Cricetulus griseus: one gene and its partners. The protein of the gene in region 2 purifies or fractionates together with the protein of the main gene of each other region. This does not show direct contact. Links are inferred from orthologs where the notes say so. Each region holds a gene or a part of one and is shown on either strand. Other genes may lie near its edges.

Region 1 (4,167 bases), about 290 Mb from region 2:
CCTAGGCTTCCAGTGCTTTCTTTGTCCGTTAGGAAATGTGCTCAACTGCGTTTTGTACAAGTGCTGAGCTACATTTTGTGACTTCTCTTGTAATTTGCTTTGTTCAACATCCAACAAAATTCTAAGCAGGAGGCTCAGTGGTGTGGTTAAGAGCATGTATTAGTCTTCACAACTGCCTGGAGGCTGAGAAGTTCAGAGTTTGAGGCCAGCTTTGGCTACAGAGAGTACTAGGCTACCCTGGTCTATAATGTGGCAAGACCCTTTCTGAAAAAACAAAGCCAAGGAGGGTAGAGAGAGATGGCTTATCAGTTAAAAGCACCAGGTGGCTCACAACAGCCTGTAATTCCAATTACCTGGGATCCCACTCCCTATCCTGACCTCCAGGGGCACTAGGCATGCATGTGGTGCACATACACACATATAAACCAAACACTCATACACATACAGTAAATATAAAAATAAAAAATCCAAACAAAATATACGAGTCTCTGTATAAAAGTAACCTGAACAGACTCCATGCCTCTGACTTCCTTGGGCACCTACACAGACACACAAGATTGAAAGTAAATCTTTATAAAATATGTCAACTCTACTTTCCCAAGCTTGCACCTCCAGCTGCTTTGTTTGATACGTCTACTGGGTTACTGAATAAGAAAAAAACACTCCATTTTTTCATTCTGTCCTTTGAAGGCCTAAGGTTCACTTTGCCAACTGCAGATTTTGATTCGCTGACTAGACCTAAAGATGGTCAGAAAATTAAAACAATTAGCTAAAGAAATTTTCTTTTTTGTTGCTACTCTGCAGTCAAACGTAGTGGGAGATTGACTAGAAAAGAATCCACTGCCCTCAATTTACATAAAGCATTCCCTGTTTGCTGCAGCCCCAGGTTCCCTCGGCCTGAGGCATTGGAGACTTAAGGATTTGAAGCCTGGGCTCGCCCAGAAAGCTCTCACACGGAAGTGCACTTGGGTGAAACCACCAGATTCAAAGCCTGCAAGGTTGGTCTGGCGACTAGGCCGGTCTGGCTCAGCATTTCTTGCCTGCAGGGCTCAGAAATAAGGGGCTGCAAAAAATTAGGCTCCGGGTGGGGTTAGGGTTGGGGTTGGGTTCCGGCAGGTCCCCTTCGGCGAAGCGCCTGCGGCATACATAACCTCTGCACTTCAAGACTTCCGCACTCTGGGCCCTCACAGTAAAGAAAGGCCTCTAGAAGATTCCACGAGTCTCGGAACCCGGGCCTGAGTCCACCCCCACAAGGCCCTTGGGCACGGCCACTCCCAACCCCAGCGCCCCCGCGCCGTTGCCCAGGTAACCGAGGGGCGGCGGCAGCGGCGTGGGGCGGGACTTCCGGCGAGTGACGCGCCCGGGCTCGGCTACAAAAGAGGTCGGCTGCGGCGGGCCGGGCGGAACTTTCCAGAACGCTCCGTGGGAGGTGGAGGAGCAGCGTCTGCCCCAACTGCGTTGTGCTACGCTCCTCTTTCCGCTCTCCGGCACCGGCCCGCTCACCGGTGAGTCTCGGCCCTCGGGCCTTCCTCGGCCGCGACGTGCGGCCTGGGCGCCAGATAGCCGAGGGGAGCCGCAGCCGGAGGCGGTTGGCCCCGCGTGGGCAGGGGCTGCGGGCTCCCTGAGCCGGAATCCGGCTTCGGAAGGCCGCCGGGATGCCCGGCGCCCTCCCCGACCGTCTGTACGCCGCGAGGAGGCCCAAGGCCCGAGCCAACTCGGCGCCCGCCTCAGACTCCTGTCGGTGCGCACCCCTTTCTCCCCGCCGCCCGCGCCGGGTGGGCAGCGCTGCGCACGCGCGGACCGAGGCAGGGGTGAGGGGCTGCGGGAGGAGCCGGGCGGAGGCTGCGGCTTGTGCTTCTTCTCCTGGCTCTCCTCCCTCTCTTTGTTGAGGTCCGGCCTTCCCCCTCCGCCTTTTCGATCCGGGTGGGAGGGAGAAAGGAAGGAAACCTTAACTGTAGGCGCCAGGTGCTGGGGGGAAATCCAGAGGGCGAGTCAGCTTGGCGGGCCTGAGGGACGAGAGTGGGTAAGCGGCGAGCAGGATCAGGATGGCGACGGGGCCGGGGGCACCTGCTCCCCGGAGCTGGTCTCATAAGCCACTCCTCCACCCCCGGGAGTCCACTGTCCTTTTCCGGCGAGTGAGGGCCTTTATCAGATGTACAAAGGCAGTGCTAATGTACTAACCAATGGACAGAACCTACCAGTGCTGCTTTGGGTTACTAGCACAACCTGTGGGGAAAGGAAACCGGAAGGAGCCCCATCACACATGTGTTAGTGCGGCAGAGTAGGAACCAGCTGCTAGAAAGGCTTTCGAGTTCCCCGCAATTTACGTTTATATTTAGTCTGTTAGAATTTTCAGCCAGATCATATCAGGAATTGATAGCTTTAAAGTTAGCGAAGGCAGTGTTCTTTATACGGCAAAGAACAGATTGCTCTAGTTCTGGTAGTTTGCTAAAAACTACCAATTAAAAGCCGGTCATGGTGGCTCACACCTTGAACCCGGCTCTCAGGAGGCAGAGGCAGGTGGCGCTTCTGCACAGCACTAAAAGCTGGTTTAAAGCTCCCCGTTTTTCTGATTTCAGGCTGTGAAAGATGGTGAAAGAAACCACTTACTATGATGTTTTGGGGGTCAAACCCAATGCCACCCAGGAAGAACTGAAGAAGGCATATAGAAAATTAGCCTTGAAGTACCACCCTGATAAGAATCCAAATGAAGGAGAAAAGGCAAGTACATTCTCGAACAGTTCAGCAGTGTTGCCATGTGTGTACTGCTGGTGCCCGAAAGTCAAGGTTGTAATACAGTGGCTGTGCCGTGTGACAGTTATTTCTAATGGGATTTCTTTTTCTGAAACAGTTTAAACAGATTTCTCAAGCTTATGAAGTTCTTGCTGATTCCAAAAAAAGGGAATTATATGATAAAGGAGGAGAACAGGCCATTAAAGAGGGCGGAGCAGGTGGTGGTTTTGGCTCACCCATGGATATCTTTGACATGTTCTTTGGAGGAGGAGGGAGGATGCAAAGAGAACGGAGAGGTAAGAAAAAGTACAGCTTACCTGCAGCAGAATGAAATGGCTGCTACTGAAAAACTGAATTTACTACCTTCAGTGCTTGTTTACATATTGGTATGATGCCTCTGATTTCTGGTGTCATTTAAAATTGAGATTTTTAAAAAAGAAATTTAGATAGTTGAGATTTTTATGTAATCAAAATAGCTAAGCCAATCTAGTGGGTATCTCCCATCCACAGATACCCAAACAGTAAGATAACAGCATGGCAACCTGGGCTTCTAAGCCCTTACACATCATGCCCCTAGAACAAACACAAATGGTTAAGTGTAATGGCCTTTATCAGTTAAAGAAGAGTTGAGAAAACTGAAACATAGCAAGCCAAGACTGAAAACAGCTCATTGCCTCCAGATAACCTGCTGCCTGTTTAATCTTACTTTAGCTTGCTAACTCAGTTTATATGCATTTAATGTTTTAACAAAAAAGTTGTCTCTGAGCTAGACAGACTTCTTGGGAAGATAGCATTGGAGGTCAATAGTACTTCATTTTTGTTTACTGTGTTTTTACAAGAATTTACTGGAAATGAATGTTGTGGCCCTGAAAAGTGGCTCAGTGGTTAAGAATACTGTACTCTTTGCAGAAGATCCAGATTTCAGTGCATGGCTCACTACTGCCTGTAACTCCCGCTCAAGAGGATCTGATAACCTCTTCTGACCTCTGGGCTTTCATACAAACATGTATGCACAAAAATTAAAATTAAAAAAAATCTGTTGTGAACCATAAGGATAGTATGAGCTACTAACTTTTGGCTTATTTTAATATGAGGGTTTTTGTTGCTGCTGCTTTGGAAAGTATACTTGGTCAGTTTCCAGAAGCTTTGTTTTTCCTTTTCTGTACTCTGTATACAAAGTTAAGAAATGGGCAACTTTCAACTTGGAAGAACCTGCTTACATGTTCTTTTTGTGATAGTAGAAATCTAAAGTAAAGCTAGAAACAAAAGGATATGATACTTAACATCTCACTTAAAAGAGTAAATGTTCCTTTAGGTATGATGGTCAGAAAGGATTGAAACTGTTGTTAGCCACCAGGCAGTGCCATTTGGTGATGGATAAAGTCCTAGTGGAAGGATCACTGGCTAGGAACTTATTAACCATAGAGGGTAATT
Region 2 (3,979 bases):
ATCTGAGGGAAGCAGTGATGGAAGACACAATTTGACCTATCAACCTATTTAGGTTAGTGTAGGTGGGGCGCTCAATGTCGAGGTTTCTACGACAGATGTCATAGATGGCCTCGTTGTCTACCATGAAGGCACAATCAGAGTGCTCCAGGGTGGTGTGGGTGGTAAGGATGGAGTTGTAGGGCTCAACCACAGCAGTGGAAACCTGGGGGGCTGGGTAGATGGAGAACTCCAGCTTGGACTTCTTTCCATAATCGACAGAGAGCCGCTCCATCAGCAGGGAGGTGAACCCAGAGCCAGTTCCCCCACCAAAGCTGTGGAAAACCAAGAAGCCCTGAAGACCTGTGCACTGGTCAGCCTGTAGGAAAAAAAGAACAGGCATTGTTTATCAACAGGGCATACTCTCAGCACTGCTTGCAATTCCTCAAGATGGCAAACCACATTTACTTGAAAGGAAAAAATTGTGAATTGGTATTAAAAATGATCTCATGACCCATAGACCACATGTACAAGTCTACTTAATTAATGTAGTGAACAGACTTTACTTATTTTGGCAGGTCCCAACACTCCCCCACACTGCATTTTAAATGAACCCATCCATCTATGGTATTTACCAGCTTGCGAATTCTGTCCAAGACAAGATCAATGATCTCCTTGCCGATGGTGTAGTGGCCACGGGCATAGTTATTGGCAGCATCTTCCTTGCCTGTGATGAGCTGCTCAGGGTGGAAGAGCTGGCGGTAGGTACCAGTGCGAACTTCATCTGGAAAAGGAGATGAAATCAACCATTCACAACAGTAACTGACACACACAAGCTCACTCACTCTTCGGCGGTGTGTGGAGAGGTTCTGAGTATGTGACCAGGACAGAATGCCTCAGGGAAACCCCTGGCCCACTTACCGATGACTGTGGGTTCCAGGTCTACGAACACGGCCCGGGGCACATGCTTGCCAGCGCCTGTCTCACTGAAGAAGGTGTTGAAGGAGTCATCTCCTCCCCCGATGGTCTTGTCACTTGGCATCTGGCCGTCAGGCTGGATGCCATGTTCCAGGCAGTAGAGCTCCCAGCAGGCATTGCCGATCTGGACACCAGCCTGGCCAACGTGGATGGAGATGCACTCACGCTGTGGAAAAGGGGGAAAAATTATGAAATTAAGCTGTATTTCTATTTTAGATTTTAATAGATTTCTAAAGTGTTTCTAATAACACAAATATTGTTGAAATTTATTTGGAGTCATATCCCTCATATGACAGAAACAATAATGAGTACCTGATACAAATACTGCAAAGGGGTGTGGTCTGAATAATGTCACCTTAATACTAAGACTTGGTGCAAACCCATTGTTCTCACAGCCATACTTAAATAGAAGAGTTTTCATGTTCGAAAAATACTTAATACACTGATACTGTAAAGTGAAATAATTGTCTGGAATTATTTTAATTGCTTCTTTTCCTGATAAGTAAAGATGAATGCTTCATCTTTTGTGATCTGGTATTTCAACATGGACATCAGTACTGCGGCTGCGGGCAGGAGCCACACCCTTCTGCAGAACTCATCAGCACTAGACAAAGTGTGACTTCTGCATTGCTGTGTCTGCTGTGCCTGGTGCTAGCCTGTGCCCTTTGTTACATTATTTAACAGAGAAAGCTCTATTTCCAGCAGCTGTCTATACGATCCCCTCGCTGCTTTCAGTTTCCTAACCCTCTTAACCCTGTCTGGGCCATTTGCCTGAAATAATGAATTAGTGAAGATGTATTAGAACAAAAGACAGTTGGATACGGAGTATAATTTTTTTCCTTGCAGCAGTTTCATTAGATAATGAAGATTTTCCAGAATCTTTTCCACTATATAGAAGCAAAATATTCTTAAAGCTAAGTTAGAAACAAGGGCCAACAATAAAAACCGAGTAAAAAGATAACATTTAAAACTAGAAAATGGTATTTTATTCGATGAATCTTTACATACCACATAATATATTAGTATTATTTATTCTATAGAGATAGTTTTCTATTGTCTTTAAAGCTACAACTTTCATTGTCTGCGGGGGTGGGGGGTGGGGAAGGGCGTTTCCCTGGGTTCTGACAATCAGGGTAGTCGAGGCAACCTCACCAACTATCCAGCCCCTCTCTCCCCAGCGAGATGTCCTGGTGTTAAGTAAATCGTACTTTTGACACTCAAGCAAACAAAACCTCTTGTAAGATTACAGTTCCACAGCAATTTTTTAAAAATAAAAATACAAAAACCACTCCCGAGGGAAGTTTAGAGAGGGCGAACCCCTCCCAAAACGCCACGGAAGCAAGAGACAAACAACCCCGCCCCTGCGCCTCCCTGACACCGGCTGCCATGGATCCGACGCAAACTAACCATTTTCCCATAGAAGTGGGGCGGCGTTTCTGGAGTGAGGGCTCGGCCGCCGCCCTGCTCGCCCGCCGCAGCGCACCCCTCTAGCCGTGAACCCCCGCCCTGACGGCCCAGGCTGTGCGAGCAAACACTCGCAGGAGCCTTTGTTCTTCCCCGGGTCTGGGCGTTTCCCTGCCCCGCACTGCGGCTGCGGGATTTACGGACTCCGCGCAAAGCTCAACTTAACAAAGCATTGAGACCACCCTTCCCCGCAGGGGTGACAAAGACTTAGGCTTTCCCTTGAAGATCTCGGGAGACTGATTCCACCCAGTTACGGAGGACCAGGGAAGAAGGCTGGCTCACCATGGTTGCTGCTTTGCGGCTGCCCGGAGGTTGGCGGAGGCGAGGAGGAGGTGTTGCTTCTTACAGCGCGACTCTTAGGCGGTCGATGTAAGAGAACCTGCGGCACATGGGCGGATGCGGCTCCTTATATACAGCTCGGTCACCATGGGGATGGGCCACGGCCTTTTCCTGTTGGTCCAGACCCCTCCGTCTGCCCAGAGAAGCCGCGACAGGAGAGTGGTGATTGGTGCAAGCGACATGGTATGAGGTAATCTCTCCCCCACCCCTTCCCCCTAGCATCCGTAGACTTTGCATCCTCAGACAAAGGCTGAGCAAATGCAACTAGCGGAGCATCCATTATGGGGTGGGGCTGGGGAGGGGAGGGGAGGGGAGGGAAGGGAAGAAAGAAAATCGGGGCTGGGTGATTATACATGACTTAAACCTTAAACTATAGTTAAAATAATCCAAGGTTTTCCCCTACACTTAATCACAGACTTTATGGTTTTTTTTTTTTAATAGAAAATTCCAGCATTTCATACACAGTACACTAAATTTGACCATATTCCCTCAGGATCCAAAGTCTTTAATTGCTTTTAAAAAACCAGCAGAGATAGAAATGATGGTCCAAACGGCTTGGGTAAATGCCGATGTTTACAGTTATTGTTACTGTTGTTTGAACAAGATTCAGAAGCCCACTAAGAATAGGCCAGCATCGTAATCTAAACTGCAGCTGGGGTTCAGAGGCAGGAAGATCTGCAGTTCAAGGTCACCCTAACTGGCACGTAAATCCCAACCTTGGAGGAGCTGAGGCTGGAGGATTACAGCTGGTTTGAGGCCAGCGTGGATTATAGTGTGTGATCATGTCACAAAAAAGCAAAAGAGAACGAACTAAAGAGAAATAATATACAAAACAGAATTTATAGTTCACCATAGAGCTAGCTTTGTTTACGGACAGCACTCCCTACCACCCCTCCACACCCACTCCCCTCCCCCGAGCCTGTGCTATTTTATCTGTAGAAATGAGCTATCCTTTCCAATACAGGGTTCCGAAACTATAAGGAGAAAGAATTGAGTTTTAAAACTAGCTCTTTCTTTGCGTGGGCTTATATTTCTGCATTGCTCTTCTTTGGGGAGGGGTGATATCAAGTAAAACATGACTGAGATACCAAATTTTTAAAAACAGAGAAGAGTTATATAATATAAAAGGAAACCATTTTGTAATGTTGCTTTCATCCCAGACAACTGTGCAATGTCAGCCCGTCTGCAGTTCATTTTACGTAGTTCCCTAAATTCTGTAAAT
Region 3 (4,030 bases), on a different chromosome or scaffold from region 2:
CCGCGCACTGGGACAGGGCACATATGGTGTGAGACCTCAGTACGCAAGCGCATCGCCCCGCCGCCTCGGCGTGGGGACGCAGGGCGCGGCTCATCGAGAGCGGCGCTTCGGATAGAGCGTCTTCAGTGGACCCGCCGGCCAGGTGGGAACCCGAGCGCCCCCTAGCCGCAGGGGACTGCCGCGCGCCGACGCCCGGCAGCTCCCGGATTCTAGAACCTAGAGCCCTGTCGACAATGAGGCTTTTCGTTTCCCACTCACGTCAGCACCCTCCCCGGGGCTGGCATTCGACTCGGGACTGGCACTGAAAACTCCCTCAACCCTGCATTTCCTCAGTGGCAGGGAGTTTCATCCATTACGGGACCGCAAGGAGCCCATGATGAGCCTTCCGGGGTTCCCCAGGGAACGTAACACCCAGAAAAAAAAAAGGGGGTCCCCCTCGGTAACTAACACTCGTGTATAAAATAACACTTCGTACACTTAGCAGCACTGTGCACATTTATTAAGGGGGAAAGACTCAAGGGTACAGCGACCATTCCCACGATATGAATCCTTCGTGTGAGCAAGCTCTAAAGACTCCATGCGTTGCAGGAAATCAGGAGGGAAGACTGACGCGGTAAGAATGTTCTCCATCTGGTGTGGGGCGGTGTGATTGGTGTGAGCTACGTAGTTACAGTGCACTGTGGTGAGCTACGCTTCAACTTTAGAAACCATTAAACGCAAAGGAAACGAAGCCCCATGGTCGCCCAGGAGCAAGACCGGGCTCCTTTCGAGGGAGCACAGCGAGTGCGGACGCGCAGCCTGCGCACAAGGAAAACTACAATTCCCAACGTCCTTAGCGCTCATGCCTCCGGTCGTTAGCCCACAAGCGTGGGGCTGCAATCTTGTAGTTCCGGGTGGCGGAGGAGATTCGCACTCTCCGAGGCTTTCGTCACTCGCCAGCCGCCCCTTCCGCGGTTGTCTCACCGTGCATCGCGAGAGGACGTTAGCCAATGAAAAGGAAGAGCCGGCAGACCCTTCGCCCTTAACAACCGCTGCGAGGCTGAAACCTGCGTGAACCCGATCGGCATTCTTGAGCTGCAACTTCCTCCCTTCGTAGGCATCACCGATAGCCCGGGTAACGCAAAGGAGGAGCCGCTTTCCAGGGTTGAAGGCCGTGTCGCGGCTGCACACCCGGCCGGGCGGGGTCGGGGCGGGGGGAGGGCGCGGCCGGGACAGCCTGGTGTGTGCGCCGGAGGCTGTGACGCATGCGCCCCAGGCCCCAGGTGGTGCCGAGTATCGTCCCCCCGGAACTCCTCCACCTGTCTCTGGAGCTCAGGGAGTGGCCAAGAATCTGCAGAGCGGTACCTGGGGTCGGGGTTTCGGGTAGGAGTTTGTTAGGTGTCAGCCCCCGAGTTAGTTCATCGGTAAGAAGAATACTCGGGCTGGTTCAGTCAACAGGAAGTTATGGGGAACCTCTGAGCCATCCATCTCCTGACCCCTCCGCCCCCGTCTAAGGCAGCGACCACCACCGCCTGCCCTAGCGCGGCTCTCGTGAAGCTCCGAACCTCAATGCAAAAGTTCCCTGTAAAAAGATTCCCCCGTGGATAAGCGAATGCTGTGCTTAGATAATGTCAACATTCTGACGAGCTCGTTTCGTGGCCGGTCATTTGTTTAATCCCGAGTGCAGAGCCTTATATTCTTTTTTTAAAAAATATTTTATTTATCTATTATGTATACAACACTCTGCTTCCGTGTATATCTGCACATCCGAAGAGGGCACCAGATCTCATTACAGACGGTTGTGAGCTATCATGTGGTTGCTGGGAGTTGAACTCAGGACCTCTGCAAGAGCAGTCGGTGCTCTTAACCTCTGTCTGAGCCATCTCTCCAGCTCCGAGCCTTATATTCTTATATATTTCTCCTGCGGGGATAATTTTGTCTGTGAGATGATTTTTGTGGTGTTTCTGAGACGTCTGTGAGATCGGCTTGGACCGTGGGCCTGGCTAGTGGGGAGTGAGGATGGTTTTGATTGCTTTAATTAAAGCAAGGAGACCTGCCCATCTGTGCAGCACCGTTCTGTTCCCCGAATTGGTAAACCTAGATTAGGTGTAGAGAGGAGGCTGGACGCAGGCATGCAGGTGTTCGTTTCTCTATGCTTATGATTGGACGCAGTGTCTTCTGTTCCTGTCTCACTTTTCCTGGCCTCCAATTCGAATAAACCTACCTCCTGTATAGCTGTTTTTCGTTAGGGTATTTCTGAGGAAGTATAGGAATGAAACTCCTTATGGCAATGTCCATGAAAAAAAATGGCTAAAATTTACAGAAGCCATAAAGGAAGTTAGTACAATTAGAGACTTCCCTGGGTCCTGGAACTGTGGACCAGGTCTTTGATGGACTGGGTCTTTATCCCGGTTTCAGCAGGTGTTGGGGCCTACATGCTAGGTTCTAAGGTCTCAGAATGACTAAATGACTTCTACTGTGATACTGTCTCAAGCCCTGTTACCAAGACCCTGTGTTTAAACAACAACAAAACCCCCAAAGTGTAAATGAAATGCTTGTTTTTGTTTTTGTTTTTGTTTTTGACTCTCCCAGCATCAGGACGATTTAGAACAATGGAAGGTAATGGATCCATCGACATGTTCTCAGAGGTCATAGAGAACCAGTTCCTCCAGGCTGCTAAGCTCGTGGAAAGTCACTTGGACTCTGAAATTCAGAAACTGGATCAAATCGGTGAAGATGAGCTGGAACTCCTCAAAGAAAAGAGGCTGGCGGCACTCAGGAAGGCCCACCAACAGAAACAAGTAACCCCTCTGGCCTGCTCCCTGAAATCGCCTTGGCACTGGCTCCTGACTGCAGTGTGCTGTCATGTGACCTTCCCTCCTCATTTTCAGGGTGTTCTGAATTGAACTCTCTGTCACTGTTGAATGTTTTCCCAGGAATAAAACTTGAGGGAAGACTTAGGCAAGATAAAACATGTAACCAAGGAGCTGGCATGTAAAGAGAGAGATTAAAACTTCTCTTTCAGACCAATCTTAGGGTCCACATATCAAATTGAAGACATACAGTAGTTCCATGGGAAAAGATATTTCTAAGTGTTTAAGCATGTGTGCATTCTTATTAAATTGTCTGTTTTGGAGGAGTGGAGGTGGCAGGCTAGAACTCACTGTGCAGCCATGACTGGCCTGCTTCTGCCTCCAGGAGTGCTGGAATTGAAGGCGTGTACCACCACGCCCAGTTCTGCATTGTCATTTATTTTCACGAAAACTCAGTGAGATGATTGTTTTATCATATCCAGTTGCAAAAGAGAAAATGAAGGCTCAGAAAGGTCATTAAGGTTCAGTAAATGGTGGGAAGGGTATTGAAAGGCATAGTGAGCGTCTAGTTGAGGTGACAAAGTCTCTGCCAAGGGAAAGGTGGAAGGGGCTGAAAGAGTTCTCAGGCTTGGTTAATAGGGGTGTGTGCCTTGGGTTTCGAAGTTGAATTATATGTGAGGTTTTCCTTGGTTCTGGACACCCCATGAGTAGAATACTTTTCCTTCTGAGGAGTTTGTTCACTGATGGCTAGTCTAGAAGCCCTTGCCTGTTTGAGATTGTTATCAGAAGGAGATCATTGGGTTCCTAAGCTGCTGAACTGCAGTAACCACACTGTACCCCCCAAATTGACAGGTTTATTTCATGGGGTGGTTTGTTTTTTGTCTTTTTTAATTACTTCTTATTTTTGAGATTATAATACAGTTCCATCATTTCCCCCTCCTTCTCCCTCCCTCCAAACCATCCCTTTCAGATTCATGGCCTGTTTTCATCGATTGTTGTTACATCCATAAGTGTATATATGCATACGTATTTCTAAATATCGTTAGTTTGCTCAGTGTGTAGGATGTTACTCACATGTACATTTTAAAGGCTGACCATTTGGTACTGAATAACCAATTGGTGTGCTCTTCCCTAGAGAAGACTATTTCTCCATTCTCAGCATTCCGTAGTTTCCTGTAAGAACATTATTCTTTTTAAAGTATAGACCTGAGTGTGTGTGTGTCTCAGTGGAAGAGCTC

What was found. Proteins that work in one complex are often made in the same cells at the same time.
Region 1: the proteins of Tuba1a (region 2) and Dnaja1 purify together in Homo sapiens (affinity purification with mass spectrometry; 3 studies listed by BioGRID and IntAct, with this or other methods). This does not show direct contact. The link is inferred for Cricetulus griseus from reciprocal best matches to the Homo sapiens genes TUBA1A and DNAJA1.
Region 3: the proteins of Tuba1a (region 2) and Txndc9 purify together in Homo sapiens (affinity purification with mass spectrometry; 3 studies listed by BioGRID and IntAct, counting the BioPlex papers as one, with this or other methods). This does not show direct contact. The link is inferred for Cricetulus griseus from reciprocal best matches to the Homo sapiens genes TUBA1A and TXNDC9.

Annotation. Positions count from the first base shown.
Region 1 is NC_048595.1:101,876,114-101,880,280, reverse strand, and holds the start of Dnaja1 (dnaJ homolog subfamily A member 1), read left to right. Parts: upstream 1-1,367; 5' UTR 1,368-1,505; intron 1,506-1,874; exon of another isoform or gene 1,875-1,890; intron 1,891-2,579; 5' UTR 2,580-2,589; coding exon 2,590-2,721; intron 2,722-2,851; coding exon 2,852-3,029; intron 3,030-4,167.
Region 2 is NC_048595.1:395,417,920-395,421,898, forward strand, and holds the start of Tuba1a (tubulin alpha-1A chain), read right to left. Parts: upstream 2,801-3,979; 5' UTR 2,704-2,800; coding exon 2,701-2,703; intron 1,416-2,700; exon of another isoform or gene 1,121-1,415; coding exon 898-1,120; exon of another isoform or gene 761-897; coding exon 612-760; exon of another isoform or gene 555-611; intron 356-554; coding exon 1-355. UniProt on the Homo sapiens protein: Tubulin is the major constituent of microtubules, a cylinder consisting of laterally associated linear protofilaments composed of alpha- and beta-tubulin heterodimers.
Region 3 is NW_023276807.1:10,255,546-10,259,575, forward strand, and holds the start of Txndc9 (thioredoxin domain-containing protein 9), read left to right. Parts: upstream 1-1,230; 5' UTR 1,231-1,244; coding exon 1,245-1,362; exon of another isoform or gene 1,363-1,403; intron 1,404-2,571; coding exon 2,572-2,780; intron 2,781-4,030. UniProt on the Homo sapiens protein: Significantly diminishes the chaperonin TCP1 complex ATPase activity, thus negatively impacts protein folding, including that of actin or tubulin.